Anolis sagrei: one gene and its partners. The protein of the gene in region 2 purifies or fractionates together with the protein of the main gene of each other region. This does not show direct contact. Links are inferred from orthologs where the notes say so. Each region holds a gene or a part of one and is shown on either strand. Other genes may lie near its edges. The genes, in order: CDIN1, ASF1A, NASP and CHAF1A.

Region 1 (7,964 bases), about 200 Mb from region 2:
GAAAATGCTGGGTGACCAAAAGGAAGGAGGAAGTCCTGACGGCTCTTCGTCAATCAGGATAAAGCAATAGCACCCCCTGGACTCAAGCCCAACCTTCTGTGGCACCAAAAACAGCTGAAACAAACCACCTCCTTCTGTTCTGTTCTGTTCTGTCTGTCTGTGTATTGTCTATACCAGGGGTCCTCAAACTTTTTAAACAGAGGGCCAGGTCACAGTCCCTCAAACTGTTGGAGGGCCAGATTATAATTTGGGGGGAAAAAAGAACTAATTCCTATGCACACTGCAAATATCTTATTTGTAGTACAGTAACAATTAAAAACAATACAATAATTAAAATGAAGAACAATTTTAACAAATATAAACTTATTAGTATTTCAGTAGGAAGTGTGGGCCTGCTTTTGGCTGATGAGATAGGATTGTTGTTGTTGTGTGCTTTCAAATCATTTCAGATTTAGGTTGACCCTGACTGAGGGCTGGGTAAATGACCTTGGAGGGCCGTATGGGAAGTGTGGCCTGCTTTTGGCTCATGATATAGGATTGTTGTTGTTGTGTGCTTTCAAGTCGTTTCAGACTTAGGTTGACCCTGAGCAAGGGCCGCGTAAATGACTTTGGAGGGCCGTATCCGGCCCTCGGGCCTTAGTTTGAGGATCTCTGGTTTAGGGTAAGGGTTTAGGCTTATGGTACAGTTCAAGGTTAGGGTTTCACCATTAAAGAACTCTTACATTCCTTCTATATTATCTGTCTCCAGCCTGGCTTACATTAGCTGAGTCTCTCTTGCGCAAACAGCGCTCTCGAAGGAGTGATGTGGCATCTCAGTAATGATCGGAGCTTCCAGACCCAGCTATCATACTATTACCGGTAGTATATTATATACTACAAGTATATTATAAGTACACTACAAGTACACTACAAGTATATTATACTATTAGTATTATACTTTATATTAGGTAAAGGTTGTCCGTAGACATCTCCAAGGTCATGTGGTCGGCATGACTGCATGGAGTGCCATTACCTTCCTGCTGGAGCAGTACCTATTGATCTACTCACATTTGCATGTTTTCGAACTGCTAGGTTCGCAGAAACTGGGGCTGATAGCGGAAGCTCACGCTGCTCCCTGGATTCGAACCTATGACCTTTCGGTCTACAAGCTCAGCAGCTCAGCGTTTTAACCCACTGCGCCACCGGGGGCTCCCCATACTTTACATTATATTTATTCTAGATTTATTATATGTTATATAATAGCTTTAGCTGCCTGTGGAAGTTGTAGTTTTACAAGATCCTTGAAGTTGTGGGGGTTTCTTTGTTATGCATTGTTTATTTTACAGCAGATACATAGTATTCAATACAGCCTACCATAATTTAACTTTTGGCATCTACTGGTTATTTTTATGCTTATACGTATTATCTATCTCTCACCACAAGAAGCACTGTCTGAACATTAAGCAAAAAGTGGGCGCTAGAAACAAAACATACGAAAGCTGACTAGCACAAACTGGGGATCACAACCATACACAGTGAAGACATTTGCCCTTGCGCTATGCTACTCTGCTGCTGAGTACACATGCCCAGTGTGGAACACACAGTGGATGTGACTCTTAATGAGACATGCCGCATTACCACAGGGTGTCTGCGCCCTACACCACTGGAGAAATTGCACTGCTTAGCCGGTATTGCACCACCTGACATCCGCCGGGAAGTAGCAGCCAATAGTGAAAGGACCAAGGCAGTGACATCTCCAGCTCATCTCTTGTTTGGGTATCAGCCAGCACGTCAACGACTTAAATCAAGACATAGTTTTCTTAGATCTACAGAGACACACGCTGGAACACCTCAGCAAGCGAGAGTCCAAAAGTGGCAGGCCCAAACCCAGCACCTCAATCCGTGGGTGATACCAGATGAGAGACTCCCCCCTGGGCACACAGAGGATTGGGCGACTTGGAAGGCGCTGAACATACTACGCTCTGGCATCACGAGATGCAGAGCCAATCTCAAGAAATGGGGCTACAAAGTTGAATCCATGACATGCAAGTGTGGAGAAGAGCAAACCACTGACCACCTGCTGTAATGCAACCTGAGCCCTGCCACGTGCATGATGGAGGACCTTCTTGCAGCAACACCAGAGGCACTCCAAGTGGCCAGATACTGGTCAAAGGACATTTAACCAACTACCAAGTTTGCAAAATTTGGTGTTTTTGGGGTTTTTTTGTTTTGTTTTTTTTTAATCTGTTTGTTTGTTTTTTTCTGTTAGAAATGTAACACAATGGTCTGGTTGCTGATGACACGATAAATAAAATAAATACCACTGTGCTCCCCTCCCTCCTCCCTTGAAGTTGTAGTTTTACAAGATCCTTGCCGAAGAATGCTTGTGCCCCACCAAACTACAAATCCCAGGCAGTTCAAAGTGGAGTCCAACTGCATGGATTCTACTGTGCAGATGCACCCCTTTCCTTGTCCTATTCGCCGTCTCTTCTGCATCCTAGGCCTTGAATTGCACTCACTTCGTGATAGCCAGACACACCAAAGCAGGCCCCCTCCACCCTCGAAAGCAGCTGTCTGGGCCTCTTCCTGGAAGGAAGGAGGGAGAGCGAGAAAGGGGGCGGGGAGCAGAAAGGGGCGGAGCCACCACCGCGGCCCACTCACCTGGGGAAGCGGGCCTTCAGCTGCTTCAGGCTCTGCCTGGTGGGGGCCACCTGGGCCAGGAAGAGGGCCACCTCTCCGTACTGGGCTTTGCTCAGCGGCATGCCTGCCTGCCTGCCTGCCTCCCACAAGCAGAGCGCAGCACACAGGGAAGCACCAAAGGGCAGACAAGGACTACTTTCTTCCCTTCCCCCGCTGCTTGCTTCCCGGCATACAGCCCTCGATGGCTCGGCCTAAGGAGCGGGGCAAAGCCTAGGCAGCCAAGACATGCCTGTTTCGAAAAAGGGCCTTGGCTCTCGGCTTCCCGCCCGCAGAAGGGCAGAAACCAGCGCCGCTCATGCGCTGCTCGGCGGCTCCGCCTTCGCCGTCGCGGAGGAAACGAAAGCGACGCTTTGGGCGGGAAAAGTCTCTCTCAACTGGAATGAATGGAAAGGAATGGCGGGGGCGGGCTTTTCGCCTCGCTTCCTTCAGCAACCCAAAGTGTCCTCCTCCCCTCTTGCTACGGGACTGTCCCAGCTCCAGTTTCTCTTTCTCCAGTTGGACTGCAACTCCCACCATTCCTAACAGCCAGGCATGGGCCAACTTGGGCCTTCCAGGTGTTTTGAACTGCAACTCCCACCGTTCCCAACAGCCAAGCATGGGCCAACTTGGGCCTTCCAGGTGTTTTGGACTGCAACTCCCACCGTTCCCAACAGCCAAGCCAACTTGGGCCTTCCAGGTGTTTTGGACTGCAACTCCCACCGTTCCCAACAGCCAAGCATGGGCCAACTTGGGCCTTCCAGGTGTTTTGGACTGCAACTCCCACCATTCCCAACAGCCAGGCATGGGCCAACTTGGGCCTTCCAGGTGTTTTGGACTGCAACTCCCACCATTCCTAACAGCCAGGCATGGGCCAACTTGGGCTTTCCAGGTGTTTTGGACTGCAACTCCCACCATTCCCAACAACCAGGCATGGGCCAACTTGGGCCTTCCAGGTGTTTTGGACTGCAACTCCCACCATTCCTAACAGCCAGGCATGGGACAACTTGGGCCTTCCAGGTATTTTGGACTGCAACTCCCACCATTCCCAACAGCCAAGCATGGGCTAACTTGGGCCTTCCCGGTATTTTGGACTGAGACTCCCACCATTCCCCGTAGCCATGCATGGTCAAACTTGGGCCTTCCAGGTATTTTGGACTGCAACTCCCACCATTCATAACAGCCAGGCATGGGGGGGGGGGGAGGAAGAGGCCTGACGTTGTTAGGAATGGTGGGAGTTGAAGTCCAAAATACCTAGAAGGCCCAAGTTTGACCATGCCTGATCTACACCCACTGAAGTCCTGGGAGTTGTTTGGTGAGGCACCAGCAAACACTCTTTGGCAGAGAAGGCCAGAATTAGTGCTGCGCTGTGGCAAAGTGGCATCAAGGTGCTTTATTTATTTATTTATTTAAAGTATTTATATTCCGCCCTTCTCACCCTGCAGGGGACTCAGGGCAGATACCAATGCAAACATTCAATGCCAACATATATAGACAGACACAGAGGCACTTAACATTCCAGCTTTTCCGGCTTCATGAGGGTATGCTCGATTCCGGCCACAGAGGGAGCTGCCGCTTCAGCACCCGCTTGTGACACCGAGTCCTTTGATGGAGTACTTCCTCATTCTTCTTCACACTGCTGGAAGGTTTTATGGTGTCGTAAATTAGTTAAATTAGCCTCCCTGCATAAAGCGGACCTAAATTTCGTACTTGACAGATGCAACTGTCTTTCAGGCTGCATAGGTCAACAGCAAACTAGACTCTTAATAGTCAGGGGCTTACTCCAACCGGGGCTGGCTTTGGTCATGATTTTGAAACCAGCCCAGGTTAGAGTAAGCTCCTGACCATTAATAGTCTAGTTTGCTGTTGACCTATGCAGCCCGGAAGACAGTTGCAGTAGTGATTTAATGGTCAGTAGTGATTTAATGCAGCTGGCTACTAACTAGCTGCGCCTCAGTCCAGCAATTAATTAATTCTACAGTGCAGAAGTACTCGGAAGTCATCCCAAAGAGTTCCTTTTGAGCAAATTGTTGTTATGTTTTCCCAGACCCCCTTTGCCTTCTCTCTACTTCTTAAAGGTAAAAGTAAAGGTTTTCCCCTGACATTAAGTCTCGTCATGTCCGACTCTTGGGGTAGGGTGGTGTGCTCATCTCCATTTCTAAGCCAAAGAGCCGGTGTTGTCTGTAGACACCTCCAAGATCATGTGGTTGGCATGACTGCATGGAGCGCCATTACCTTTCCGCTAGAACGGTACCTATTGATCTACTCACATTTGCATGTTTTTGAACTGCTAAGTTGGCAGCTGGGGCTAACAGTGGAAACTCATGCCACTCCTTGGATTTGAACCTGCAACCTTTCGGTTAGCAAGTTCAACAGCTCAGTGGTTTACCCACTGTGCCACCGGGGGCTCCTTAACTGTGTGTTTTTTTTAAAGAATCATCATGATTGCAAAGAAAGTGACGGAGGATGGAAACAATGCAGAGGAACTTGAGCTGGAAAATGCAGCCAATCTTCTATATCCACAGATTTTACACCCACAGATTCAACCATCCATGGCTTTGTTAGAAATTACAACCTTCTTCAAGTCTTCTCGAGCAATGTTTAGCTATGATCCTGTTGCTTATTGCTTCCTGTATATATGTTCTGGTATGCAGATTCCTTTTTTTACTCTATAGTTCACGAGAAGTTACAAAAGGGGCTGCAGACCAAATGATCACTATAGCACAGGAATGGGCAAACCTAGCCCTGGTTAGCAGAAGCAGCCCCTTGGACTCTTCCCAGGGCTTCCTCTCTCTCACCATCCTATCCTTCTTTCCTTCTCTCCTTCCTGCCCTCCCTTACATCCCTCTTCCTCTTTCCATCCTTCATTCACTTCCACCCTTTCTCTTTCCTTCCTTTTTGTCTTCTCTTTCCTCCCTCTCTCCCTTTCCTCTTTCTCTTTCCATTCCCTTCCACCCTTTTGTCATTCCTTCCTTCTCTTTCCTTCTTTCCTTCTTTCCTCCCTCCCTCCCTCCCTCCCTTCCTTCTCCTTTCTTCCTCTCTGCCTTCCCTCCCTCTTTCTCCCTCCATTCCCTTCCACCCTTTCGTCCTTCCTTCCCTTTCCTCCCTCCTTTCCTTCTTTCCACCCTTTTGTCCTTCCTTCTCTCTTTCCTCCCTCCTTCCCTCTCTCCCTCTTTCTTCTTCCTGCTTTCCTTCATTCCCATTTGTCTTTCCTTACTCCTCTCCACCTCCTCTCTCCCTCCATTCCCTTCCACCCATCCTTCCTTCCATCCTTCTCTTCCTCCTTTTTTTTTCTCTTTTTCCTTTCTCCTTTCTTTCTGGGGGATGTTTAGCTGGGAGAAGGTAGAGAGCAACAGATAATCTGCGAACCATTAAGGAAGAGGAGGAGGGGAAAACTAATTTTCTGTTGCTGTCTAGAGACCAGGACACAAGGGAGCAAAGGGTTCAAATGGCAGGGAAAGAAATTCGCCTGAAAAGATTAGGAAGAACTTCCTGGAGAGTGGCATAGGCTGCCTCAGAGTGTGGTGGAATCTTCTTCTCTGGAAGCTTTTCCGCATAAGTCTATTGGGAGTTCTTTGATGTGTCTTCCGGCATGGGCAGGGGGTTAGACTGGATGGCCCTTGGCGGTCTCTTCCAATTCTAGGCTTCTGTGATTCTATATCATGAATAGGCAATACGGGGTCTAATAGATATTTATTTTATTTACATCATTTTTACCCCACCCATATCAACCCAAGGGCGACTCAGGGCGGCGAACAATCGGCACAATTCGCTGTCATATATAAAATACATACATCAATAAAATTAAAACATCACATTACAATGTATCTAAAAACATCAAAACATTGAACAATAAAAATGTTTAAACTATGTCATCATGCTCCGTCCTCATTTGTTCCGTCGTCTTAGCCATTCCTAGGTCGTTTTCCAATTCAAGTTTATCTAATTAAGCTGAAGCTCCAAAAGCTTGCTTGAAGAGCCAAGTTTTCAGTTTTTTTTTTTTTTGAAAGGTTAGGAGGAAGGGGGCCGATGTGAAGGGGGCAGGGAGTTCCACAGCCAGGGGGCCACCACAGAGAAGGTCCTGTCTCTCGTTCCCGCCAGATACACTTTTTCTCGCCCATCCACCATCTCATCCTGACCAGTACCAACCCTTTTGGGATCCAAATGTTTCCTGTCTTTCCTTCACTTTCTGCCTCCAAGCCCCCTCCTTCCTGCCCTGCCCACCCCACTCTAGCCTGCCACAAGGTCCCCAAGTTAGAAAGTTTGCCCATGCATACTATAGTTGATTACAGACTACTTCAGACCTCAGATCACACACTTGTTTGCTATTTTGCTGTAAGAGATGTCCTGGCCAGGTGGCACATAGAATTATCTCAAGCATATCTGAAGGTGGATTGATAAGTTTTGTACGTGTGTATGCTGAACACATGAAGGTTGTGAGTATACCAAATAAGCTATTTTTTATCCAAGTCTACTTCATTTTTGTCTGTTGAGCGCATGATATAAAACAAGTTATTTTATGGGAGAGTATTTAGGCGATCCCTCGTTGGACGAGTAAGATGGTCTTCCATCATGGGTTTCCTTGTGGGTCCGCATGTGGCTGTGGAGCCCTATTCTTGCTCTGCATCTTCTTCCGCAGTGAGGGCATTGGTTTCCAGGTGGAAGGCGGTCCCGGTCGGGGTTGGCTTGACGCGCCTTCCTCCTGGCACGTTTCTCTCTTTCACCCTCCACTCGTGCCTCCTCGAATTCTGCAGCACTGCTGGTCACAGCTGACCTCCAGCTGGAGCGCTCAAGGGCCAGGGCCTCCCAGTTCTCAGTGTCTATGCCAGAGTTTTTAAGGTTGGCTTTGAGCCCATCTTTAAATCTCTTTTCCTGTCCACCAACATTCCGTTTTCCGTTCTTGAGTTCGGAGTAGAGCAACTGCTTTGGGAGACGGTGGTCAGGCATCCGGACAACGTGGCCTGTCCAGCGGAGTTGATGTTGGAGGACCATTGCTTCAATGCTGGTGGTCTTTGCTTCCTCCAGCACGCTGACGTTTGTCCGCTTGTCTTCCCAGGAGATTTGCAGGATTTTCCGGAGGCAGCGCTGATGGAATTGTTCCAGGAGCTGCATGTGACGTCTGTAGACAGTCCACGTCTCACAGGCATATAGCAGGGTTGGGAGGACAATAGCTTTATAGACAAGCACCTTAGTATCCCTACGGATGTCCCGGTCCTCAAACACTCTCTGCTTCATTCGGGAAAATGCTGCACTTGCAGAGCTCAGGCGGTGTTGTATTTCGGCGTCGATGTTGACTTTGGTGGAGAGGT
Region 2 (7,781 bases):
TATCTACACAGGCTACAACTCACAAGTTTCCACAGCATTGAGCCATGGAAGTATGTGTGCCTGTGAATAAGCATGTCTCTGTATGTGTGTGTCCACATGTCTGCAAGTAAGTCTGTGTCCACATGTCTGCACGTAAGTCTGTGTCTGCATATCTAAGTTTGTGTCAGTATGTGTGCCTGTATATGTGCCTGCTAGTATCTGCATGTAAGTGTATGTGTGAGTGTTTAGATGTCTGTGTGTGTGTATTTGTATCTGTATATGTGTCAGTGCTTATTGCTACGTGTTTGCATGTAAATGTTTGTTAATGTAAGTGTCTGTATAAGTGTGTTTGTTTCTGTATAAGTGTGTTTGTATACCTTAAATGTGTCTGTGTAAGTGTGTCTCTGTGTGTTTGCATGTGTCTGTGTATGTGTCAGCGTTTCTCTGCATAAGTGTTTCTGTGTGCAAATGTTTGTGTGTCAATGTATCCGTGTAAGTGTTTGTAACTGTGTTTGTATATATAAATGTGTGTGTGTGTAAGAGTATGTGTCCATGTATACATGTGATTGTATGTAAGAGTGCATGTGTCAATGTGTGTGTATTTGTCTCTGCATGTCTGTCAGTGTGTCTCTGCATAAGTGTTTCTGTGCAAATGTGTGTTAGTGTAAGTATACATGTGTCTGTGTAACTGTTTGTAACTGCATATATAAATGTGTGTCTGTATTAACAGTGTGTGTCCATATATAAGTATGTTTGCATGCAAGCGTATGTGTGTTTGTGTGTAGTTGGGTCTGTTTGTTAGTCAGTATTTCTCTGCATAAATGTTTCTGTGTGCAAATATGTTACCATGTCCGCATAAATGTCTGTGTAACTATTGTGTGTGTGTGTGTATAAAAGTGTGCTTGCATATATAAACATGTGTCTGTACAAGTGTGCGTCCATGTATAAACGTGTTTGTGTGTAAGCATATATCTGTATTTGTGCCTTGTGTATTTGTCTCTGCATGTTTCTGTGTGCAAATGTATTTTTGTGTCTCTATAACTAAGTGTGTTTGTGTACAAGTGTGTTTGCATGTCTGTAAGTGTATTTGTGTTCTAGTGTTTGCATGCAAGCATGTGTGCTTGTGTCAGTGTTTTCTCTGCATAAGTGTTTCTGTGTGCAAATGTGTTATTGTGTGCCTCCATAACTATGTTTGTGTACAAGTGTGTTTGCACGTCTATAAGTGTGTCTGTGTTTTAGTGTTTGTGTCAAGTGTTTGTGTCTGCGTAAGTGTTCCTGTGTGCAAATGTATTCTTGTGTGTCTCTATAACCAAATGTATGTTTATGTACGTGTTTGCATGTCTATAAGTGTGTCTGTGTTTATTTATTTATTTACCATGTTTATATACTGCCTTTCTCAACCTGAAGGTGACCCAGGGCGGTTTACAAACGGCACAATTCTGTGTTCTACTGTTTGCGTGTAAATGTGTGGTTGTTTCAGTGTTTGTCTCTACGTGTTTCTGTGTCCAAATGTGTTATCATGTGTCTCTATAACTGTGTGTTTGTGTACAAGTGTTTGCATGTCTATAAGTGTGTCTGTGTTCTAGTGTTTGCATGTAAGCATGTGTTTGTCTCTGTGTAAGTGCTTATGTATGCAAAAACACAGTGTATGTTTGTGTACAAGAATGTTTGCATGCCTATAAGCGTGCCTGTGTTCTACTGTTTGCTTGTTTGTGTCAGTGTTTGTCTCTGCGTAAGTGTTTGTGTGTAAATGTGTTATTGTGTGTCTCCATAACTGTGTTTGTGTATAACTGTGTTTGCATGTCTATAAGTGTGTCAGTGTTCTAGTGTTTGCATGTAAGCCTGTGTTTGTGTCAGTGTTTGTCTCTGTGTGTTACTGTGTGCCAAAAAAAGTGTGTTTGTGTACAAGTGTGTTTGCATGTCTATTAAGTGAGCTTGTGTTCTACTGTTTTCTTGTTTGTGTCAGTGTTTGTCTCTGCATAAGCAAATGTGTTATTGTGTGTCTCTATTGCTATGTTTGTGTACAAGTGTGTTTGCATGTGTATAAGTGTGTGTGTCGTAGTGTTTGTGTCAGTGTTTGTCTTTGCATAAGTGTTTCGGTGTGTGAATGTGTGGGTATGCCTCTCTATAAGTGTCTGTGTAACTGTTTATGTGTATAACTTCAGTGTGTGTATATATATAGAAGTCTATAAGCGTGTGCCTGTGTGTGCAAAGAGCCTAGACCCCTGCAATCCCACTCTAAGGCTACCCAACATGGTTGCTCCCAGCAGTGTTTGTGTGTGCAAAGGTGTTACTGTATGTCTCCATAAATATGTTTGTGTACAAGTGTTTGCCTGTGTCTGTGTTCTAGTGTTTGTCTCTGCATAAGTGTTTCTCTGTGCAATTGTGTGAGCATGCCTCTCTATAAGTGTCTGTACAACTGTTTATGTGTATAACTTCAGTGTGTGTGTAGAAGTCTATAGGCGTGTTCCTGTGTGTGCAATGAGCTTCCCCGCCCTAGGGCTGCCCAACATGGCTGCTCCCAGCCTTGGCCCAACAAGTGCCTCCCAACTTGAGTGCTGTCTTTGTGCCTTTCTTTCTCCCTTCTCTCCCTCCTCTCTCTCCCTTTGCAGCCCTTCACCTTCGGAGAGGTCCTCGATGCACTCGAAGGTGATCTCGAACTGGAAGGGGTTGTAGAAGGGCGAGGGGTTGTCCAGCACCACCACGTTGTTCACTTGCACCTTGGCCATGGCCCCTCCTCCTCCTCCTCCTCCTCCAAAGAGGGCCCCGGGGCCCCAGCCAGCCAGCCAGCCAGCCAGGAGTTGGGGAAACTTTCCCAGGGAGTGAGCCCGCTCCTAATCCGCTTTGTCTCCTTCCCTTGCCAAGCCACGCTCCCCCAGTTGGTTCCCTCGCAGGGAGCTCTTTCCTCTCTCTCGCTTTTTCCCTCGCTCGCTCGCTCGCTCGCCTCTTTGCGCCGCTCTTCCTTCCCCGGGCGGGCCCACTCCGCGCGTGGAAACGGGCTTGCGGAGGCGCGGATTGGCTGCTCCCGCCGCGAGGCCGCTCCTTCCCGGGCCCAGCAAGAAGGGCGCCCGGCTTGGAAGCAGAGCCAAGCATCGCCTGGCGCTCCACCTGCCGGAGAAGCAGCCGAGGGAGACAAGGGAGCTGCCTCCTCTTGACCAAGGCTTCCCGGGTTCAGTGCCCAACATCCCACGCCATCCAGACTGCAGCCAGGGCCCTTCCACGCCGCCCTATATCTCGGAAATCCCACAATATTTGCTCAGAACTACAAGAAAGGAGATTCCATCTGAACGTTAGGAAGAACTTCCTGACTGTGAGAACTGTTCAGCGGTGGAACTCTCTGCCCCGGAGTGTGGTGGAGGCTCCTTCTTTGGAAGCTTTTGAACAGAGGCTGGATGGCCATCTCGCGGGGTTACTTTGAATGCAACTTTCCTGCTTCTTGGAAGAATGGAGTTGGACTGGATGGCCCACGAGGTCTCTTCCAACTCTAGGATTTTATGATTCTAAGTCCACACTCAGATAATGTGGGAATTTCTGCCTCCATATTCTGAAGTTATGTGGAAGAGCCTCCAGCCTACACCAGGCATGGGCAAACTTTGGCCTTCCTCCAGGTGTTTTGGACTTCAACTCCCACAATTCCTAACAGCTGGTAGGGAGTTGAAGTCCAAAACACCTGGAGGAAGGCCAAAGTTTGCCCATGCCTACAATCCTAGAGACCACCCAGTCCAACCCCCTGCCAAGAAACAGGAAAATCACATTTAAAGCACCCCTGACAGATGGCCATCCAACCTCTGTTTAAAAGCCTCCAAAGAAGGAGCCTCCACCACATTCAGGGCCAGAGAGTTCCACTGCTGAACAGCTCTCACAGTCAGGAAGTTCTTCTTCATGTTAAGATGGAATCTACTTTCCTGTAGTTTGAAGCCATTGTTCCGCATCCCAGTCTCCAGGGCAGCAGAAAACAAACTTGCTCCCTCCTCCCTATGACTTCTCCTCACATATTTATACATGGCCTTCATGTCTCCTCTCAGCCTTCTCTTCTGCAAGCTAAACATGCCCAGCTCTTTAAGCTGCTCCTCATAGGGCTTGTTCTCCAGAACTTTGATCATTTTAGTCACCTGTCCTACACTGCTATTTCCTGATGAATATGAGGCTGGCTTATAATGATTTGACTTTCTGGACAATTTATCTCTATGTTTCCTAGTCAGTGCTTGTTCAGCATGTGAATTATGACTGTATTGTGAAGTAGCGTCTGATTATTCACTTGTGTGGCTTATGGAGTATTTATTACTCATTTGCTATTCATTATCTGAGTCGTGGGACATGGCACTCAGTGTTCTTGGTTATTTGATCGTGGTATTGTCTTGGTTGTGTGGGGGAAGTACACTCCAGTTCTGTTGTTCTGTTGGCAGCCCGTGGGTGAATCACTAAAGCAGTGGTTCACCTTGCAAGCCTCCGGTTCTCATCTCAACAGCTGGTAAACTGGCTGGGTTGAGAACCAGTGCATTCAAGGCTTTAATGCAAAGATAATGGTAATTTCTGAGCCGAAGAGCTGGCGTTGTCCGTAGACACCTCCTAGATCATGTGGCCAGCATGATTGCATGCAACACCATTACCTTCCCACATAAGTGGGACCTATTGATCTACTCACATTTGCATGTTTCAAACTGCTATTGGCAGAAGCTGGGGCTAACAATGGGAGCTCAGCCCGCTCCCCAGATTTGAAACGCCAACCTTTCTGTCAGCAAGTTCTTCAGCTCAGCAGTTTAACCCGCTGCAGCTCCCTTTCAAATGACATTTATGATTTCAAGGACAAGCAGTCTGCTGAAATGTGTGTGGAGGGAGAGGGATGGATAAGGAAACAGAATTGGTTATCTAATACTGCAAGGATCCAAACTCATATAAATACATTTCAATTCAGTCTCAGCATGATATTTTATCAGTGGGTTAAACCCTTGTGCCGGCAGGACTGAAGACCGACAAGTCGGAGGTCCAAATCTGGGGAGAGCGTGTATGAGCTCCTTCTGTCTGCTTCAGCTTCTCATGCGGGGACATAAGAGAAGCCTCCCACAAGGATGGTAAAAACATCAAAACATCTGGGCATCCCCTGGGCAACGTCCTTGCAGATGGCCAATTCTCACACTATATGCGACTTGAAGTTTCTCAAGTCACTGCTGACGGATTATTTTTAATCAATTGTGACCCTGCATTACATACATAAACAGGCTCGTGGATAACCAACATTGGTTGGTTGCTAAGGGCAAAAATGTCAGTTATGTCCATAAAAGGGAAAACAGTAGCTGCAAATCAGTTTCATTTTCAGCATATTGCAGTTTGGAGAGGGTGCACCAACACTATAGAATCAATGCAGTGTGGCACCACTAAGTGCCATGGCTCAGAGCTATGAATCAGGCATTCCTTGAAGAATTTTATACGGTTTGGTGCACTGTTGGATCCCCAAGCAGTAGACCCGGGGATCCCCATGCCTGAAGGGCCACACCACAAATTGTTTTTATCCCTCCATTGTGCCAGTGGCCCGCAGCCATCTTTCAGGCTGCCCAATTGCACCCTTATCTAGAGGAAACGTTCGCAACGTAGTCTTCCTAGTACATTGGACTACAACTCCCTCATTCTGTAACTGGATCATTGCCAGGAGTTTCTTGTTTCTGTTCACCTATATTCAGTAACTCTGTCATATTCATGAGTTCTAAGACCATAAGATCTTTTACACTAAGCAACTAATAATAATAACAACAAAAACAAAAACAAGAAGCCAGTAAAGATGGTCCCAGTGGTGATCAGCACACTGGAGCAGTGCCTAAAGACCTTGGCCTGCACTTAAACACAATTGGCACTGACAAAATTACCAGCTGTAAAAGGCTACCCTACTGGGATCAGCAGGCATTATTTGCCAATACTAGACACTTGGGAATCTGACGTGTGATCCAATACAACAGTCAGCAGAGTGATCTTGTCTGCTGTGGACTCATCTTGTTATGTTTCAAATAATAATAATCATCATCATCATTATCATCATCTTTATTTATATTCCTCTCTATTTCCCTGAGGGTACTCAGGGCAGATTATAGAACACATATACTGCAAATATTCAATGCCGTTATACAGTTAACAAGGACAGACAACACTTAAACAGAGGAAAAGGCTTTCTCATCTTTTTTTTTTTTTTTGCTTCCAGCATCTGGAGGCTGTGCTCAACTCTGGCCACGGGGGGGGGGGGGGGGGGGGGTGTTGTCACTCCATCTTCCACGCCAAAGAGCTTTTGACGTCTATAGGTATCGTCCCAATTGAATCGTCGGCATGTCCTTATGGACCCCTTTTATTACCTTCCGGCTTTAAAGTGGTATCTATTTATCTATTCACATTTCTGTTTCTGATCTGTTAGGTGAGCAGAAGCAGGGGCTGACATCAGGCACTCATCCCAACCCAGGCTTGAACTGCCAACCTTTCGAGCGGCAGGATTTTCTGCAGCTTAGCGGTTTAACCCGCTGTGCTAAGCACTATCATACCACTTTGACTACTGCGGTTCCCTCTTGCGAAATCCTGGGATTTTTCCTTTCAGGGAATGATATTTAAATTTATCAGCCAGTGAGCTCCCCATGACTTCATAGGGTAGAAACTTGGCAGCTGAAATGAAGTTGCTGTTGTTGTTTTGTGTGCTTTCAAGTGATTTCTGTCTTCAGGTGGTCTTAAAATGAACCTATCACAGGGTTTTGTTTGGAAGATTAGTTCAGAAGAGGTTTTCGTCACCTTCCACACAGGCATATAACCCAGAATACCAAGGCAGAAAATCCCACAATATCTGCTTTGAACTGAGATATCTGAGTCCACGCTGACATATATTCCAGTTCCAAGCAGATAATGTGGGATTTTATTCAGCTGTGTGGAAAGGACCTATGAGAGTGACTTGTTCTAGATCACCCAATTGGTTTCATGGCCAAGTGGAAATTTGAGCCATGGTCTCCAGAGTTTTCATTGTACACCACCGTAACTATAATGCAATAATTGTATAGTATGAAAGGTACCTTAACAAGCATTACTCAAAGCTTACTCTTCAGCCAGAGTTGAACACTCACTGTAAAAAAAACAACTTTTCAAATTATTAAAAAAAACATCCCCCCCCCCCCCCCCGAAGGTTTGACGGTCACTGCTGTGAAAGACTCTGGAGAATGGAATTTGGAGGCTGGCGCGTTGGTTCTAGCTGATGGGGGTCTTTGCTGTATTGACGAGTTTAACAGCATCAAAGAACATGACAGAACCAGCATTCATGAGGCCATGGAGCAACAAACAATCAGTGTAGCAAAAGCTGGGTAAGTGTCTGTTTTTCCTTATGTGCTACAAATTAGCATCTGTGCCCTTTGGGTAAGTGTCTGTTTTTCCTTATGTGCTATGAATTAGCATCTGTGCCCCCTTTTTTTCATTTTTGTCTGTTGACACTTTCACTGATATTCCATGTGAACCAGTGTGGTCCATAGTGGCAGCTTAGGCATTCACAGAAGAGAGATGCTTCCCTCCCCTTTCTGCCTCTATTTGAGAACGAAACAAAAGGTGTTTTGAAAAAGGGCCTTGCGATGAATATAGAGTTGAGCAAGTCCAAATTATTAGTTTTGAGGGATCCTTCTCCAGAGGCAGGCACTGTGAGTCAAGGCACTACAAGTGAATGCTAATGACGTGATTCATTACTCCTGATGCTGTGTAGCCCAGGGTGTCCTCTCTCTAGGTCTAAGAAAGGGCTCCTAGGTGAAGACTTTCTAGACCAGTGGTTCTCAACCAGTGGGTTCTCAGGTGTT
Region 3 (7,565 bases), on a different chromosome or scaffold from region 2:
TGGGGCTTTTGATTTAATTTTTATGTGTTTTTATGTGTTGAAAAACATGAAATCGGTTCAAAGCTGTTTTTGTGCTTTACATAAGATGCAAGGAAAAGTCAGAGTCTCAAAATCTCAAAGTTGTTTACCTCAGAGATGACTGATTTTATATAATGTGGAATCAGACCAATTCATGTGATATATTGCTTTAAAAATGGACAGCTCCAGTATGTATGCACATACTGTTATTTTCAGACGTTGTCTGTTAAATGGTGCTGAGAGTGGAGGAAAGAAATGCAGCAGCCACCATTTCTTCAGCTGTGTTTTGTTCATGTAACAAAGCATAAACACCTCTTGCTTGTTAGAAAGGCTTTCAAATACGGAGTTGTGCAAAATGCTTTGAAATGGCTAAAACATGACTTGTTCTGGATAAAGGAAGAGGATATGCATGGTAGTGACATCCTATTGTGAAAATGGGACCAAATAATCCTTTGCTGCCGTAAATGGTAAAAACAGATGCTTTACTGGTCCTGAAAAATTTGGGAGCTTTTTGTTTGCCCACTATTTCAAAAGGTAGCTTTATTATGAATACAGTGAGATGAAAATAGTTGTATTATTAGTATTGTGTGCCCCCTAGTGGCTCTTGGGATACAGAAGCAAAGTATACTATCAGCTCTGTCTTTTCAAGCATTAAATGGCTTTCCAAAAAAGTATTGAGCTGCTTTCCATGTTCAAAACGTCTTCCCTTTTCATTAGATTCTTCCTTCCAAGTTCAAGTTTTGTGTTTGCGTTTTTTTTAAAGTTCCAAACTGACCACCGTGTTGCTTCATTAGAGGTGTAAACAATACTTAAAATGCCATTTTGTTTTGTTTTTTTGCCCTGCTGATTTAACTCAGAGGGTCACTTTTAGAAATTGGTAGAAGTACATGACTGAGTTTAGTAATTAGGTACACTAAGAAATGCCATTTATTTTTCTTTCCTTGTCTTTCACAGGTGGAGGGAAAACTAATAGCAAGGGATGCTGGACATCCTCTCTATCCCTTCAATGAACCATATTGATTCCAGTAGTTTACAGCACTGAAGGAAACTACGTTGAAGACTGCCACTTCAATCTGATATTAGACTTTCAAAAATCAAAATAAAATGTTGTGTTTCTTTAAGAATGTATATTTACCTTTATTAATTAACACATGTTCAAAAGAAATCAGAGAGCCTGTATGTGAGACTCCTGAGTGTACTAACCTGCCTTGATCTTTCTTTACAAAGTTGACCATGATCCCCATTAGAAATACAGGCTCAATGCAAGGAAAAGGAATAAATTGTTGAAGGTGTACCGTGAAAGCATTTTAAAATGAAAATGCACCACAAGTTTGCACTTCTGCCTTCATTCAGAATTACAAAGCTATGCTTAGCAGTGTTAATGTTATCATTAATATGTATGTGTTCAGTAGTGCAAACCGGTTTGTAGGAGTGTAGTTAAAAGAGATGTCTCATATTATTGTTGCCTTTGTGGGTGGATGGGAATTTATCCTCCAACACAGTATTTTGATATCTCAATAATTTAGTAGCATATCTTTCTCCTTTTTTACATGGATTGTGTTATACATTAATTGGATGGATGGTGAAGTTCAGTATAACTGTAATTGATCTATTTGACCAGTTTTACTAAATCGGAAATATCCAGTATCCTTTGGAAATCATGATAACATCTGAACTGGACACTGTAACCTTTTGTTCTGAAAGTTTAAAATTGTCATCTTTATATTTCTTCTGTATTACAAGGATTCTTATGTAAAGTATTAGCTTAAAATGAAAGTTTTCCTTTTCAGCAAATAAATATCATTTTGTATATATTAGAAAATGCTCATAAATGATGTGGTTTTTAAAGAACCACCTCTTTACAATACAATTTGGTTAAAATCCTGTATGCAGTGCACTCTAGTGTGAGCCTTAGATGGCCTATAGCCCAGGCATGGGCAAACTTTGGCCCTCCAGTTTTTTTGGACTTCAACTCCCACAATTCCTAACAGCCTATTGGCTGTTATGATTTGTGAGAGTTGAAGTTCAAAATACCTGGAGGGTCAAAGTTTGCTCATGCCTGAGTTATAGGAAGAATTAAGGGTGCATCCACACTGTAGAATTAATTCAGTTTGAGGCCACTTTTAACCACCATGGCCCAATGTTATGGAATCCTGGAAGTTAAAGTTAAGGAACGCACCAGAGAAGGCTACAAACCTAGGAAAACTACGAGTCTCATGATTCCATAGTATTGTGTCATGCAGGCATGTAGCCGGGGGGGGGGGGGGGCTTGAGGGGCTTCAGCCCCCCCCCCCCCCCCCGAAATTCTCATGGTGGTTCGCGAAAAGGCCTTACTGGTGCATTATTTAAACTGTTATGTTTATTCATATCATGATCTGATCAGCATACTCAGTATATCCCATATGCATGGGGGTATTGGGGTAATGATACAAAAGGTTTGCTAGCCTAGACCCTCTTTCACTCAGCCCCCCCCCAAACTCAGCCCTCCCCCGAAACCCCCCAGAAATTTTTTAGCCCCCCCCTCCCCCCCAAAACAAAATCTTGCCTACGGGCCTGGTGACAGTTAAAGTGGTGTCAACATGCATCAGTTTCACAATTTAGATGTAACCTAATAAGTGTTCTTTTGATGGCTTGGTAGGGCAGGCCCATTGGGTTTAATTTCATTTAGTCTAGCTTCTTGTTAATTCAATTTCATTTCGCTAAACTATGACTCAGGAACACACTCACAACCTTTAACTCTTAGATTGTGTTGTCGAAGGCTTTCATGGTTAGAATAACTGGGTTGCCGTGAGTTTTCCAGACTCTATGGTCATGTTCTAGAAGCATTTTCTCCAGACGTTTCGCTCACATCTATGGCAGGCATCCTCAGAGGTGAGCCTTCGGTGGCACAATAAGTTAAACCCTTGTGCCGGTAGGACTGAAGACCAACAGGTTGGAGGTTTGACTCCAGGTTGAGCTCCCTGTCAGCTTCCCATGCGGGGACCTGAGAGAAGCCTCCCACAAGGATGGTAAAACATCAAAACATCCGGGCATTCCCTGTGCAACGTCCTTACACACGGCCAATTCTCTCACACAAGAAGTGACTTGCAGTTTCTCAAGTCGCTCCTGACATGGGAAAAAAATCCTCAGAGGTTATGAGGTCATGGTAGTGACATCCTATTATAAAAATAGGATCAAATAATCATTTGCTGTGGTAAATGGTAAATTCAGATGCATTACTGGTCTTTTCAACGAAGATCAATGGTATGATGACATGATGGCAACAGTCTTGGACAGCAATGGTTCCCAAAGTGACCCACTTAAGATGTCAAACGGATGTGTTATTGCCCCAACTTTATTTTCCATCTTCATCGCTATGATACTTCACCTTGTTGATGGGAAGCTTCCCACCGGAGTGGAAATCATCTATCAGACAGATGACAAGCTATTTAACCTCAGTAGACTGAAAGCCAAAACCAAGGTTACAACAACATCTATTATAGAACTCCAGTATGCTGATGACAAGGCTGTCTGTGCGCATACAGAAGAAGACCTACAAGCCACTCTAAACACCTTTGCAAAAGCATAGGAGAAGCTTGGCCTGTCATTGAACATTGAGAAAATTAAAGTGCTCTTCCAGCTTAATGGTGTAACATTAGAAAATGTCGACCATTTCCGCTACCTTGGCAGCCGCCTCTCCACAAAAGTCAACATTGACACTGAAATACAACACCGCCTGAGCTCTGCGAGTGCAGCCTTTTTCCGAATGAAGTAGAGAGTGTTTGAGGACCAGGACATCTATAGGGATACCAAGGTGCTTGTTATAAAGCTATTGTCCTCCCAGCCCTGCTATATGCCTGCGAAACGTGGACTGTCTACAGACGTCACATGCAACTGGAATGATTCCATCAGCGCTGCCTCCGGAAAACCCTGCAAATCTCTTGGGAAGATAGGCGGACAAATGCCAGCATGCTGGAAGAAGCAAAGACCATCAATTCCGCTGGACCGGCCATATTGTCCGGATACTTGACCACCGTCTCCCAAAGCAGTCGCTCTACTCCGAACTCAAGAACGGAAAACGGAATGTTGGTGGGCAGGAAAAGAGATTTATAGATGGGCTCAAAGCCAACCTTAAAAACTCTGGCATAGACACTGAGAACTGGGAAGCCCTGGCCCTTGAGCGCTCCAGTTGGAGGTCAGCTGTGACCAGCAGTGCTGTGGAGTTTGAAGAGGCACGAATGGAGGGTGAAAGAGAAACGCGGCTGAGGGGGGAAAGGACGGGGCCTGAGGCTGTTAGGAATGCTGGGAGTCCAAAACACCTGGAGGGCCCAACTTTGCCTATGCCAGTTGTAGATGCACTGAGATGGGAAATCTCACTCATTGGACTACGTTTCCCGGAATGCCCAGCGCTCCCTCGTGGATTATGCGGCTCTTACTGTCAAAGGTTTCCATGCCTTTGGAATTGCATTCTGATTGGACGATGGTGGAGCTGGGCGGCCGCGAGGCATGCCGGGAAAGGTAGTTCCAGGGCGCTGAGAGCGTGCCTCGCGCCGCCGGGGCGTGTCCTCAGGGGCCTATATAAGCACCCAGAGGGGCGGTGGGCTGCATTCGCCTGCTGCCGTGTTTGGTCCCCTTTTTTCCTTGGTGAATTTTTTATTGTCGGCCGTCCTTTTCCAAGCCCGAGGAGGCTCGAGCCAGGTTTTGTCTCTCTGAGGGGAAACGAGGTAAGAAAAGGAAAAATGGGGCTCTTGACTTGGTTCGCGTAATGGGGGAAGGAATTTCTCCTCAAGAGGGGCGTTTTTGGCTTTGCTCCCGCTTCAGCCTGAAGTAGGCGCCTCCACTCTATTGTGGAATCCTTTCCCCCTCGCCTTTAAGCGTCTCTGCATTCTCTATTTGCAACCCTCCCCCTCCTCTTTGTGGTTTGGTACGTTCCACTTTCCCTGGGTGTTTGGGGGCGGGGGGGGCGGTTCTCCTGCAAACCGAGGCGCCACGTGACCCCGCTCGAGCCTTTTGGGCGCCATGTTTAGCGGTTCCCTCGGCCGGCGCGTGCGGAAAAGCGAGGGGAGGGGCCGCGGAGGGGAGGGAGCGCGGTCACGTGGTAGAGGGGCTCGGCCAGTCAGGAGCGGCGGTTGGGATTTGGCGCCAAAAGGTGGCTCTTGAGGGGAAAGAGGGGGCGGGGCAAAGCGAGCCTATTGTTTGCTGAGGTGAGCAACTTCTTCCCCCTTTCTCTCAGGAAACTTCCCAAGCTGCTTGGTTTCTAGGGTGAGCCTGACTCTAATCTATGTTCTATGTCTCCCAAATATGTTTTAAGTAGCCTGGCTCTTATAAGTTTTAATAACGTAGGGCTTGGTAAGATGCGTGTGTATAGGTGTGCATATAAAGCAGGTGTTTTGTACTTCAATTCCTAACAGCTACTGAAGTCCAAAGAACCTGGAGGGCCAAAGTTTTCCCATGCCTGATATAGGTGTCTGTGTATATCTAAAAGAATTAGTCCCTGTTTGATTTTGAAAGCTAAACAGGGTCAGTCTTGGTTAGTTCTTGGATGGGAGGCCACCAATGAGTACCAAAAGCTGTATTTCAGTTAAAGGAACTGGCAAACCACCTCTAACGTTTTCCTTTCCTATGGAATTATGTGGCCATTCAACAGGTGACTTGAAGGCACATTCACACACATAAGTACCTGTCACTGAATGTGTTTTATTTGTGTGTATACGGATGTGCACACATGTATAAATATACAAACATACAGAGTACAGTTAACCAAAACTCTCAGGCAAGCAAAAAAAAAAAATCAAAGAAAGACTTTGAATTTCTAAAGCTCATTTTATAAGATAATGAAACTTACATTAAGTGAAGTTTGTCTTAACTCAGTTTCAAATATTGTATAGCAATATTAAGTCAATATAGAGTTTGTGGTAAAGTGTGAGATATGTAGTATTAGTAAGGTTTACTCTGAAGCAATCAGGAACTGCATTTATCTGGCACTTGCCTGTCTTCTTATATATTATAAATCTGAGCACATAATGCATTTGGGCTAATGCATGGAGTATTACAAGCCCTATGAGAAGCAGCTGAAATAGCTGGGCATGTTTAGTCTTCAGAAGAGAAGGCTGAGAGGGGTCAGGATGGTCATGTCATAGGGAGAAGGAGGGAGCACGCTTGTTTTCTGTTGCCCTGGAGACTAGGACGCAGAACAATGGCTTCAAGCTACAGGAAAGGAGATTCCACCTGAACACTAGGAAGAACTTCCTATCAGAGCTGTTCAGCAGTGGAATTCTCTGCCCTGGAGTAAAGTGGAGGCTCCTTCTTTGAGGCTTTTAAACAGAGGCTGGATCTGAATGCTTTGAATGTGATTTTCCTGCTTCTTGGCAGGGGGTTGTATTGGATGGCCCACGCGGTCTCTTCCAATTCTATGATTTTGTGTCTCCATATCAAAAGAAAATATAATTAGTGTACATGCAAAAATTGGTTATCATATCATCAAGCCTGTAAAGTATTTTCTATTTGAAAGTGCTACAGTATTTACTGCTATGGAACTAACTGCTATCTGGTTGATAATGTGTAAGCTGTTCTAATTTCACATCTTCAGTTTCAGAATGGCAGAAGAATCTGCTGCTCCGTCCACGTCTGCTGACAAAACTGAGAGGTGAGATAACAGTTGGATAATCATAGGAATACATCGTGTATATATTCAAAAAAGGTAGCGTGACAGATATAATTAAAGCAAAGTCAATCATGGTTTTTTGATCTGTGAAAATATTGGTTCTATTTGATAGATCTACCATAAGAACAAATCCTGAATATTGATGGTAGTGTTAGTTGATGGTGGTAAACAGTGGCATGAGTGGGTGGTTAATTTGGCTGTTGCTCTCAAGTCGCACACAGAATGGCTATAAAGTGGTGTACTAATGAAATCTGCTTTCATGTCTGCAGTATGGATGTGGATGGAGAAGCCAAGAAGCTACTTGGTTTGGGACAGAAAAACCTGGTAATGGGAGATATTCCAGCTGCTGTGAACGCATTCCAGGAAGCTGCTAGTCTGCTGTAAGTAATGAGATATGATTGTCACAGAGAACCAATATGCCTGGGTAGGCATCATGGTGTCCATCATATCTATCAGCCCCTGTTAGCACAAATTTGCTTTTCCCAGGAGTAATAATTAGAGCCTCGAGAAAATGCTTGAATGCTTGCCTTTTTTGTGTGTAAACCATCCTGAGTCCTTTCAGGAAGAGAGGGCGGTCTAGAAATAAAGTTTTATTATATTATTTATAAATATAATTAATTTTTTTACACACCAAAACAACGCCTAGTTCTTGCTTACTGTTGCAGGGAGGTTTGGGGTGTGTTCTAAATAGATATTTGTATTGCAGCTTATTAAATATAAACCCATCCTTGAGATGTTTAGGATGGTAAAACAAAGCAGGCAGGTTGATAGTATGTTCAGGATGTGTACTAGAGAACAGATGAGGGATATCCCTTGCTATGCTTAATTCACCTTGTAGCCAATGGCTAATTCATATGTCATCTTTTCCTGATAGTTCTATGCAGCTGGGTCTGGTTTAGGTAGA
Region 4 (7,181 bases), on a different chromosome or scaffold from region 2:
AAACGTTGAGGCTTTCCTCCACTTTAATAATAATAATAATAACAATAACAATAATTAAAAATTTATTATAATAGTAATAAATAATAATACATTATTTATTACCCACCACATTATTTTCTTCACAAACACATCAGACACACATCCCACACAAGCCTTTTTTCCTCACCTCTTTCCATAAGCACAATTTACTTTAATAATAATAACAGCAACAACAAAATTAAGTAATAGTAATACTAAATAATACATTTATTAACCACCTCAATATCTCCCTCAGGAAACGCATCAGTCAGACAGGCATCCTACACAAAGCTTCTCCAGACACACGAGTCACTTTAGTAAGAATAAATATATAATAGTAATAATAAAGAATAACATAATAATAATACCCAACTTATTACCTCCTTTACGGGCACATCAGCCAATAGTAAAAATTAACAATAATTGGAATAAATAATAATAATACATGATTTATTACCTATCTTATTATCCCCCTCACAAACACATCACACACCCCATACAAGGCTTTTCCTAGCCTCTTTTCCATACACACAACTGACTTTAATAATGATAATAAATAGTAAAATAGTAAAAACTACTAATAAAAGTAATAATAGTAATTATACACTATTTATTACCCACCACATTATCTCCTTCAAAAACACACCAGTCAGGTACACATCCTACACAAGGCTTCTCCATACACACAAGTCACTTTAATAATAAGAAGAATATATAATATACAGTAGAACCTCCCTTATCCAACCTTCGCTCATCCAACGCAGTCTGTCTCCCGCCCAGATCCACAGCTGTTTCAATACACTGCAATGTTTTGGTGCTAAATTTGTAAATACAGTAATTTCTACATAATATTATTGTGTATTGAACTCCCTTTTTGTCGATTTGTTATAAAACATGATGTTTTGGTGCTTAGGTTGTAAAATCATAACATAATTTGACGTTTAATAGGCTTTTTCTTAATCCCTCCGTATTATCCGACATTTTTGCATATCCAACATTCTGCTGGCCCATTTATGTTGGATAAGCGAGACTCTACTGTATGTATTTATTACCCACCTCATTATCTCCCTCAAACACATCAGTCAGACACACATCCTACACAAGGCTTCACCATACACACAACTCACTTTAATAACAATAATAGTACAAACTAATAATAATATTAATAAACAATACATGATTTATTACCCACCTCATTATCTCCCTCACAAACACATTTGACAAACCTCCCAAACAAGGCTTTTTCCTTGCCTCTTTTTCACACACAAGTGACTTTAATGAGAATAGGAAATAATAATAATAATAAATAGTAAAATAGATAAATAATGCATTATTTATTACCCACTTAATTATCTCCCTCAGGAAACACATCCATCAGGCACCCATCCCACACAAGGCTTCTTCACATACACAAGTCACTTTAACAATAAAAATAATATGTAATAGTACACACACACACATATACAACGCTCTGTTCATTTTGAGTGACATCATAACTCAAAAACTGCTGGACTAATTGCCGCCAAATTTGGCCACAAGACACTTACTAACCCAAGGAGTTACCATCACACAAAAAAACCCTGATTTTGTCATTTGGGAGTTGTACTTACTGAGATTTATAGTTCACCTACAATCGAAGAGCATTCTGAACCCACCAACAATAGAATTGAACCAAACTTGGCACACAGTTCTCCCATGACCAACAGAAAATACTGGAAGGGTTTGGTGGGCAGTGTCCTTTGGTTTTGGAGTTGTAGTTCACCCACATCCAAAGATCAATGATAGAATTGGGCCAAACTTCCCACACAGAACACCCCCCCCCCCCCCCACACACACACAGAGAGAACCCCCATGACTGTTTTCTGGTGGTCTTTGGCAACCCTCCTGACACCCTCTCGCGACCCTCAGGTTGAGAAATGCTACCTTAAGGCCATCCAGTCCAACTCCCTTCACCAGGGCAAGAAAGCAAAGAGCCATCCAGCCATAGATGGCTGTGGAACGCCCTTCCCATGGACATTAGATCAGCCCCTTCATTAATGGTGTTTCGAAGAAAACTAAAAACCTGGCTGTTCGAACAGGCGTTCGGTTAAACAATGCAATGTACACGATGAATATAGGAAACGGAATTATGGAAGACAAATTGGATCACGATTCTAGTTACGAGACATTAATGTGTTGTTATTGATGTGTCATTTTGTATATTATGCTGTTAATGGTTTTTAAACTTTGTATGCTGTTGGATTGACTTTTGCTCTTGTTGTAAACCGCGTTGAGTCACCTACAAGGCTGAGAAATTGCGGTATACAAGCAAAGTAAATAAATAAATAGATAGATCTATATAATCCACACACACACACACATATATATAAGTATATGATAGAAATAGTATCATAGATTTGAAAGGGACCCCTAAAGAAGGACAATTATATGTTGCATGTTCCAGAGTAGGCAAACCAGACAATCTCCAAATCAACACTGACAAAGAAACAGCAGAAAATACTGTTTGCTCACAAAGCATAAAGGCATTAGAAACCAACAGTTTCTCATTACATCATTTTCCAGAATACAAGACTGGGCCACAGCAACGCGTGGCTAGAGACGGCTAGTAACATACAATAAAACAGCAACTCACTTCATTCGTATTGTTCTGAATAATGATCCCTTTCCCGCAGGTCTTTCTACTCCAACAGGCCAGGCCTCTCTTTCCGCTCTTCCCCCAGCTCACCTCACCAAGGTCTTTCTTCCTTCCTGGCCGGCTTCTCCCCTCAAAAGGCGGGAGGAAGCAGCCCAGGCTCTTCCTGCCTTCCGCTCCCCGCATAGGAAGCCCTTCTCCTTCCTTCGTCCTTCTTTCCGGCTTTTCCCCGCGTCTTCTGCCTTACTTTGAGCCAGCCTTCCCCTTCTGACCCTTCCCGCTCGCCGTCCAACCAGGCTCCCTCGCTTGTATTTGGCGGGAGTTCGGGCCACCTTCGCGCTCCAGGGCTCTGATTGGGCGGGACGCGCGGGGCACGTGACCAACCCAACGCGCGCGCCGCCTCCCTCCTTTCCCGATTGGCTCTTGGCGGCTCCTGGCCCTTCTCGCGACAAGTGCTGGAGGGAAGGCGAAGGGGATGTGCGCATGCGCGCTTGCCTTCCAACTCATTCTCTCGAGGTGTAACATAGTGAAACGTGAAAAACAGAAAGGATTGCATCTCCGAAATGCTTCCAAAACCTTCTATCTAAATAAAAATGTAATGCTCGTTTTGTGGGATTAACAGAACTCAAAAACCACTGGACAAATTGACACCAAATTTGGACACAAGACACCTAACAACCCAATGTATGTCCTTCACTCAAAAAATTGATTTTGTCATTTGGGAGTTGTAGTTGCTAGGATTTATAGTTCCCCTTCAATCAAAGAGCACTCTGAACCCCACCAACGATGGAATTGAACCAAACTTGGCACACAGTTCTCCCATTTATTTATTTATTTATTTACCTTTCTTATATACCGCTGTTCTCAGCCCGAAGGCAACTCAGAGCGGTTCACAACAAATACGAACAGCAAAAATTCAGTGCTACAGTATAGAAACAGTTAACAACCTAACACATTACACAATTCATAAACAGTTACTACAATACCCATTCACTGTCGTCTCGTCATCAAAAACATGTTCCAGATTCGTCATCCATCGTTCCATTCCAGTGTTCATTAACCAGTCATTGCACTAATTATTCGAACGCCTGCTCAAACAGCCAGGTCTTCACTTTTTTGCGGAATACCATTAGAGATGGTGCTAGTCTAAGGTCCGTAGGAAGGGTGTTCCACAGCCGAGGAGCCACCACCGAGAAGGCCCTATCTCTCGTCCCTGCCAGCCGAGTTTGAGAAGCAGGCGGGATCGAGAGCAGGGTCTCCCCGGAAGATCTCAAAGTCCTGGTGGGTTCATAGGCAGAGATGCGGTCGGATAGGTACCTTGGGCCGGAACCCATGACCAACAGAAAATACTGGAAGGGTTTGGTGGGCAGTGTCCTTTGGTTCTGGAATTGTAGTTCACAGGAAAAGAAATTTAAAGATGGGCTCAAAGCCAACCTTAAAAACTCTGGCATAGACACTGAGAACTGGGAAGCCCTGGCCCTTGACCGCTCCTGCTGGAGGTCAGCTGTGACCAGCAGTGCTGCAGAATTTGAAGAGGCACGAATGGAGGGCGAAAGGGAGAAGCGTGCCAAGAGGAAGGCGCGTCAAGCCAACCCCAACCAAAACCGCCTTCCACCTGGAAACCAATGCCCTCACTGCGGGAGAAGATGCAGAGAAAGAATAGGGCTCCACAGCCACATACGGACCCACAAGAATACTGGAAGACAATCCTCCTCGGAAAGCGAGGGATCGCCTCATTAAATGAATGAATTATAATGTAGTTCACCTACATCCAGAGATCACTGTGGATTCAAACAGTAATGGATCTGGACCAAACGCAACACAAATACACAACATACAAACCACCTACAAACCCACCAAGAAAATCCAACAAATGCTACGTTCAGCAAAGGACAAGAGGGATCCTCTCACCTCTGCAGGAGTCTACTGTATTCCATGCAGCTGTGGACAAGTCTACATAGGGACCACCAAACGCAGCATTGCCCAAACACGAATCAAGGAACATGAAAGGCACTGCAGACTACTTCAACCAGAGAAGTCAGCCATAGCAGAGCACCTGATGAACCAACCTGGACACAGCATATTATTCGAGAACACAGAAATGCTGGATCACTCCAACAACCACCATGTCAGGCTACACAGAAAAGCCATTGAAATCCACAAGCATCTGGACAATTTCAGCAGAAAGGAGGAAACCATGAAAATGAACAAAATCTGGCTACCAGTATTTAAAAACTCAAAAATTACAACAGCAAAACAGCAGAGAGTAGACAATCAGGCACATCAAATCACTCTCAGCAAAAGATTCCCCCAGGCACTTCCAAGCCATTCAATGCTAATCAAGGTGGTCGGTTGAAACATTCACACCTAGCTCCAGCAGACAAGAGTCCTTTGTCTCACCCTGGTCATTCCACAGATATATAAACCCATTTTCCTACTTCCAACAGACCTCACTACCTCTGAGGATGCTTGCCATAGATGCAGGTGAAACGTCAGGAGAAAATGCCTCTAGAACATGGCCATATAGCCTGGAAAAACCTACAACAACCCAGCAACACGAATACTCAATATGCCCAGATGTGAACACTGGCGGAGTTTGGGGAAAATAGAATCTTGACATTTGGGAGTTGTAGTTGCTGGGATTTATGGTTCACCTTCAATCACAGAGCATTCTGAACCCCACCAACGATAGAATTGGGCTAAACCTCCCACACAGAACCCCCATGTGGGCCACAGCAATGCGTGACAGGAGACAGCTAGTCTATATAAATAAAAAATGAATGTTTGTTTGTGGAATTAGCATAACTCAAAAACCACTGCAACATGCTCTGTGTGGCGTTGCTTTTGAAGACTGTTCAAAAGCTTCAAATGGTCCAACGGACAGTAGCCAGATTGCTCATGGAGCAGCGTTCAAGGAGCATACAACCCCTCTGTTACGTCAACTCCACTGGCTGCCAGTTTGTTACTGGGCACAATTCAAAGTGCTGGCTTTAGCCAATAAAGCTCTAAAAGGTTCCAGCCCAGCTTACCTGTCCAAATGTATATCTCTAATATAATATAAATGGGTTCCTGAATAAGTACATATAACAAAAATACCACTTATACATAGAGTAAACAATAATAGAATTCAACAAGCAGTTATATAGACATGTTGTACTGTTCAATTTCACAGTGATGTCAAACAATATTGTGTAAATTTTGGTACAGTCTCTTTAGAATAATAACAATGTCGTATCTACTTATGTTGAGTAGCTTATAGATCAGCCGTCCACTATATACAACAAAAATGCCACTTATACATAGAGTAAACAATAATGGAATTCAACAAGCAGTTATATAGACATGTTGTACTGTTCAATTTCACAGTGATGTCAAACACTATTATGTAAATTCTGGTACAGTCTCTTTAGAATAATATCAATGTCATATCTTCTTATGTTGAGTAGCTTATAGATCAGCCATCCACGACCGGTTTCGGCCTATCTCAGGCCTTCTTCTGGTGGACTGAAATGAATGTATAAATCAATATTTTGCTCCGGTTGCATACATATAGAACATCTTATACTAAAATGTACTTAAAGAAATTTGTTAAGTCTTCACACTTGCTATTACACCAATATTTGTTGAACATATCCATTAAACACCATGTGTTACAAAACATTTAAGTTACTTACAAGGTTATACACTTGAGAATTTGTTCTCCTCAGGAGATACAGATTTTTGGATCAACAAATATTGAATACAAATATTGAATACAAATATTCAAGGATACCATGCATCTTGCTCTTGGTCGGACCCTCTTCCTTTTTCCTTCCTTTTTCCACAGCATCATTGTCATCTCCAAGCTTTCCTGTCTTCTCATGTGGCCAAAGTACTTCATCTTTGCCTCTAATATCCTTCCCTCCAGTGAGCAGTCAGGCATTATGCCCTGGAGGATGGACTGGTTTGATCTTACGGTCCAAGGCACTCTCAGAATTTTCCTCCAGCATCACAGTTCAAAAGTGTTTCTCTTCCTTTGCTCAGCCTTCCTTATGGTCCAGCTCTCCCATCCAAAGTGGCTACGCGGAATACCATTGCTTTAACTATGCGGATCTTCGTTGCCAGTGTGATGTCTCTACTCTTCACTAGTTTATCAAGATTGGTCATTGCTCTCATCCCACAAAGTAAACATCTTCGGATTTCCTGGCAGCAGTCTGCGTCTGCAGTAATCTTTGCACCTAGAAATACAAACCTTGTCATTGCCTCCACATTTTCTCCCTCTATTTTCCAGTAATCAGTCCGTCCGGTTGCCATAATCAAACCTAGCAGTTCGAAAACATGTAAATGTGAGTGAATCAATAGGTTTAACTCTGGCAGGAAGGTAAGGGTGCACCATGCAGGCATGCTGGCCACATACCTACCTTATGCTATTATTTATAATATTATTTATGTTATTTATTTGTCATGTCAGGGCAACCAGTCAATTATATTACATTTCTAACAGAACAAAGCAAACAAACAGACAAAATACAACATTTGTGAGTTTGGTAGT

The links.
Region 1: the proteins of ASF1A (region 2) and CDIN1 purify together in Homo sapiens (affinity purification with mass spectrometry; 3 studies listed by BioGRID and IntAct, counting the BioPlex papers as one, with this or other methods). This does not show direct contact. The link is inferred for Anolis sagrei from reciprocal best matches to the Homo sapiens genes ASF1A and CDIN1.
Region 3: the proteins of ASF1A (region 2) and NASP purify together in Homo sapiens (affinity purification with mass spectrometry; 6 studies listed by BioGRID and IntAct, counting the BioPlex papers as one, with this or other methods). This does not show direct contact. The link is inferred for Anolis sagrei from reciprocal best matches to the Homo sapiens genes ASF1A and NASP.
Region 4: the proteins of ASF1A (region 2) and CHAF1A purify together in Homo sapiens (affinity purification with western blotting; 3 studies listed by BioGRID and IntAct, with this or other methods). This does not show direct contact. The link is inferred for Anolis sagrei from reciprocal best matches to the Homo sapiens genes ASF1A and CHAF1A.

What each region holds. Positions count from the first base shown.
Region 1 is NC_090021.1:293,736,367-293,744,330, forward strand, and holds the start of CDIN1 (CDAN1-interacting nuclease 1), read right to left. Parts: upstream 3,018-7,964; 5' UTR 2,742-3,017; coding exon 2,641-2,741; intron 1-2,640. UniProt on the Homo sapiens protein: Plays a role in erythroid cell differentiation.
Region 2 is NC_090021.1:88,891,195-88,898,975, forward strand, and holds the start of ASF1A (histone chaperone ASF1A), read right to left. Parts: upstream 3,015-7,781; 5' UTR 2,709-3,014; coding exon 2,600-2,708; intron 1-2,599. Other genes in the region: DNA helicase MCM9, read left to right, coding at 7,127-7,301. UniProt on the Homo sapiens protein: Histone chaperone that facilitates histone deposition and histone exchange and removal during nucleosome assembly and disassembly.
Region 3 is NC_090024.1:180,327,179-180,334,743, forward strand, and holds the start of NASP (nuclear autoantigenic sperm protein), read left to right. Parts: upstream 1-4,550; 5' UTR 4,551-4,721; intron 4,722-5,160; exon of another isoform or gene 5,161-5,259; intron 5,260-6,586; 5' UTR 6,587-6,593; coding exon 6,594-6,643; intron 6,644-6,930; coding exon 6,931-7,041; intron 7,042-7,565. Other genes in the region: AKR1A1 (aldo-keto reductase family 1 member A1), read left to right, coding at 973-1,038. UniProt on the Homo sapiens protein: Component of the histone chaperone network. Binds and stabilizes histone H3-H4 not bound to chromatin to maintain a soluble reservoir and modulate degradation by chaperone-mediated autophagy.
Region 4 is NC_090034.1:56,230,605-56,237,785, reverse strand, and holds the start of CHAF1A (chromatin assembly factor 1 subunit A), read right to left. Parts: upstream 3,006-7,181; 5' UTR 2,744-3,005; exon of another isoform or gene 2,651-2,743; intron 1-2,650. UniProt on the Homo sapiens protein: Acts as a component of the histone chaperone complex chromatin assembly factor 1 (CAF-1), which assembles histone octamers onto DNA during replication and repair.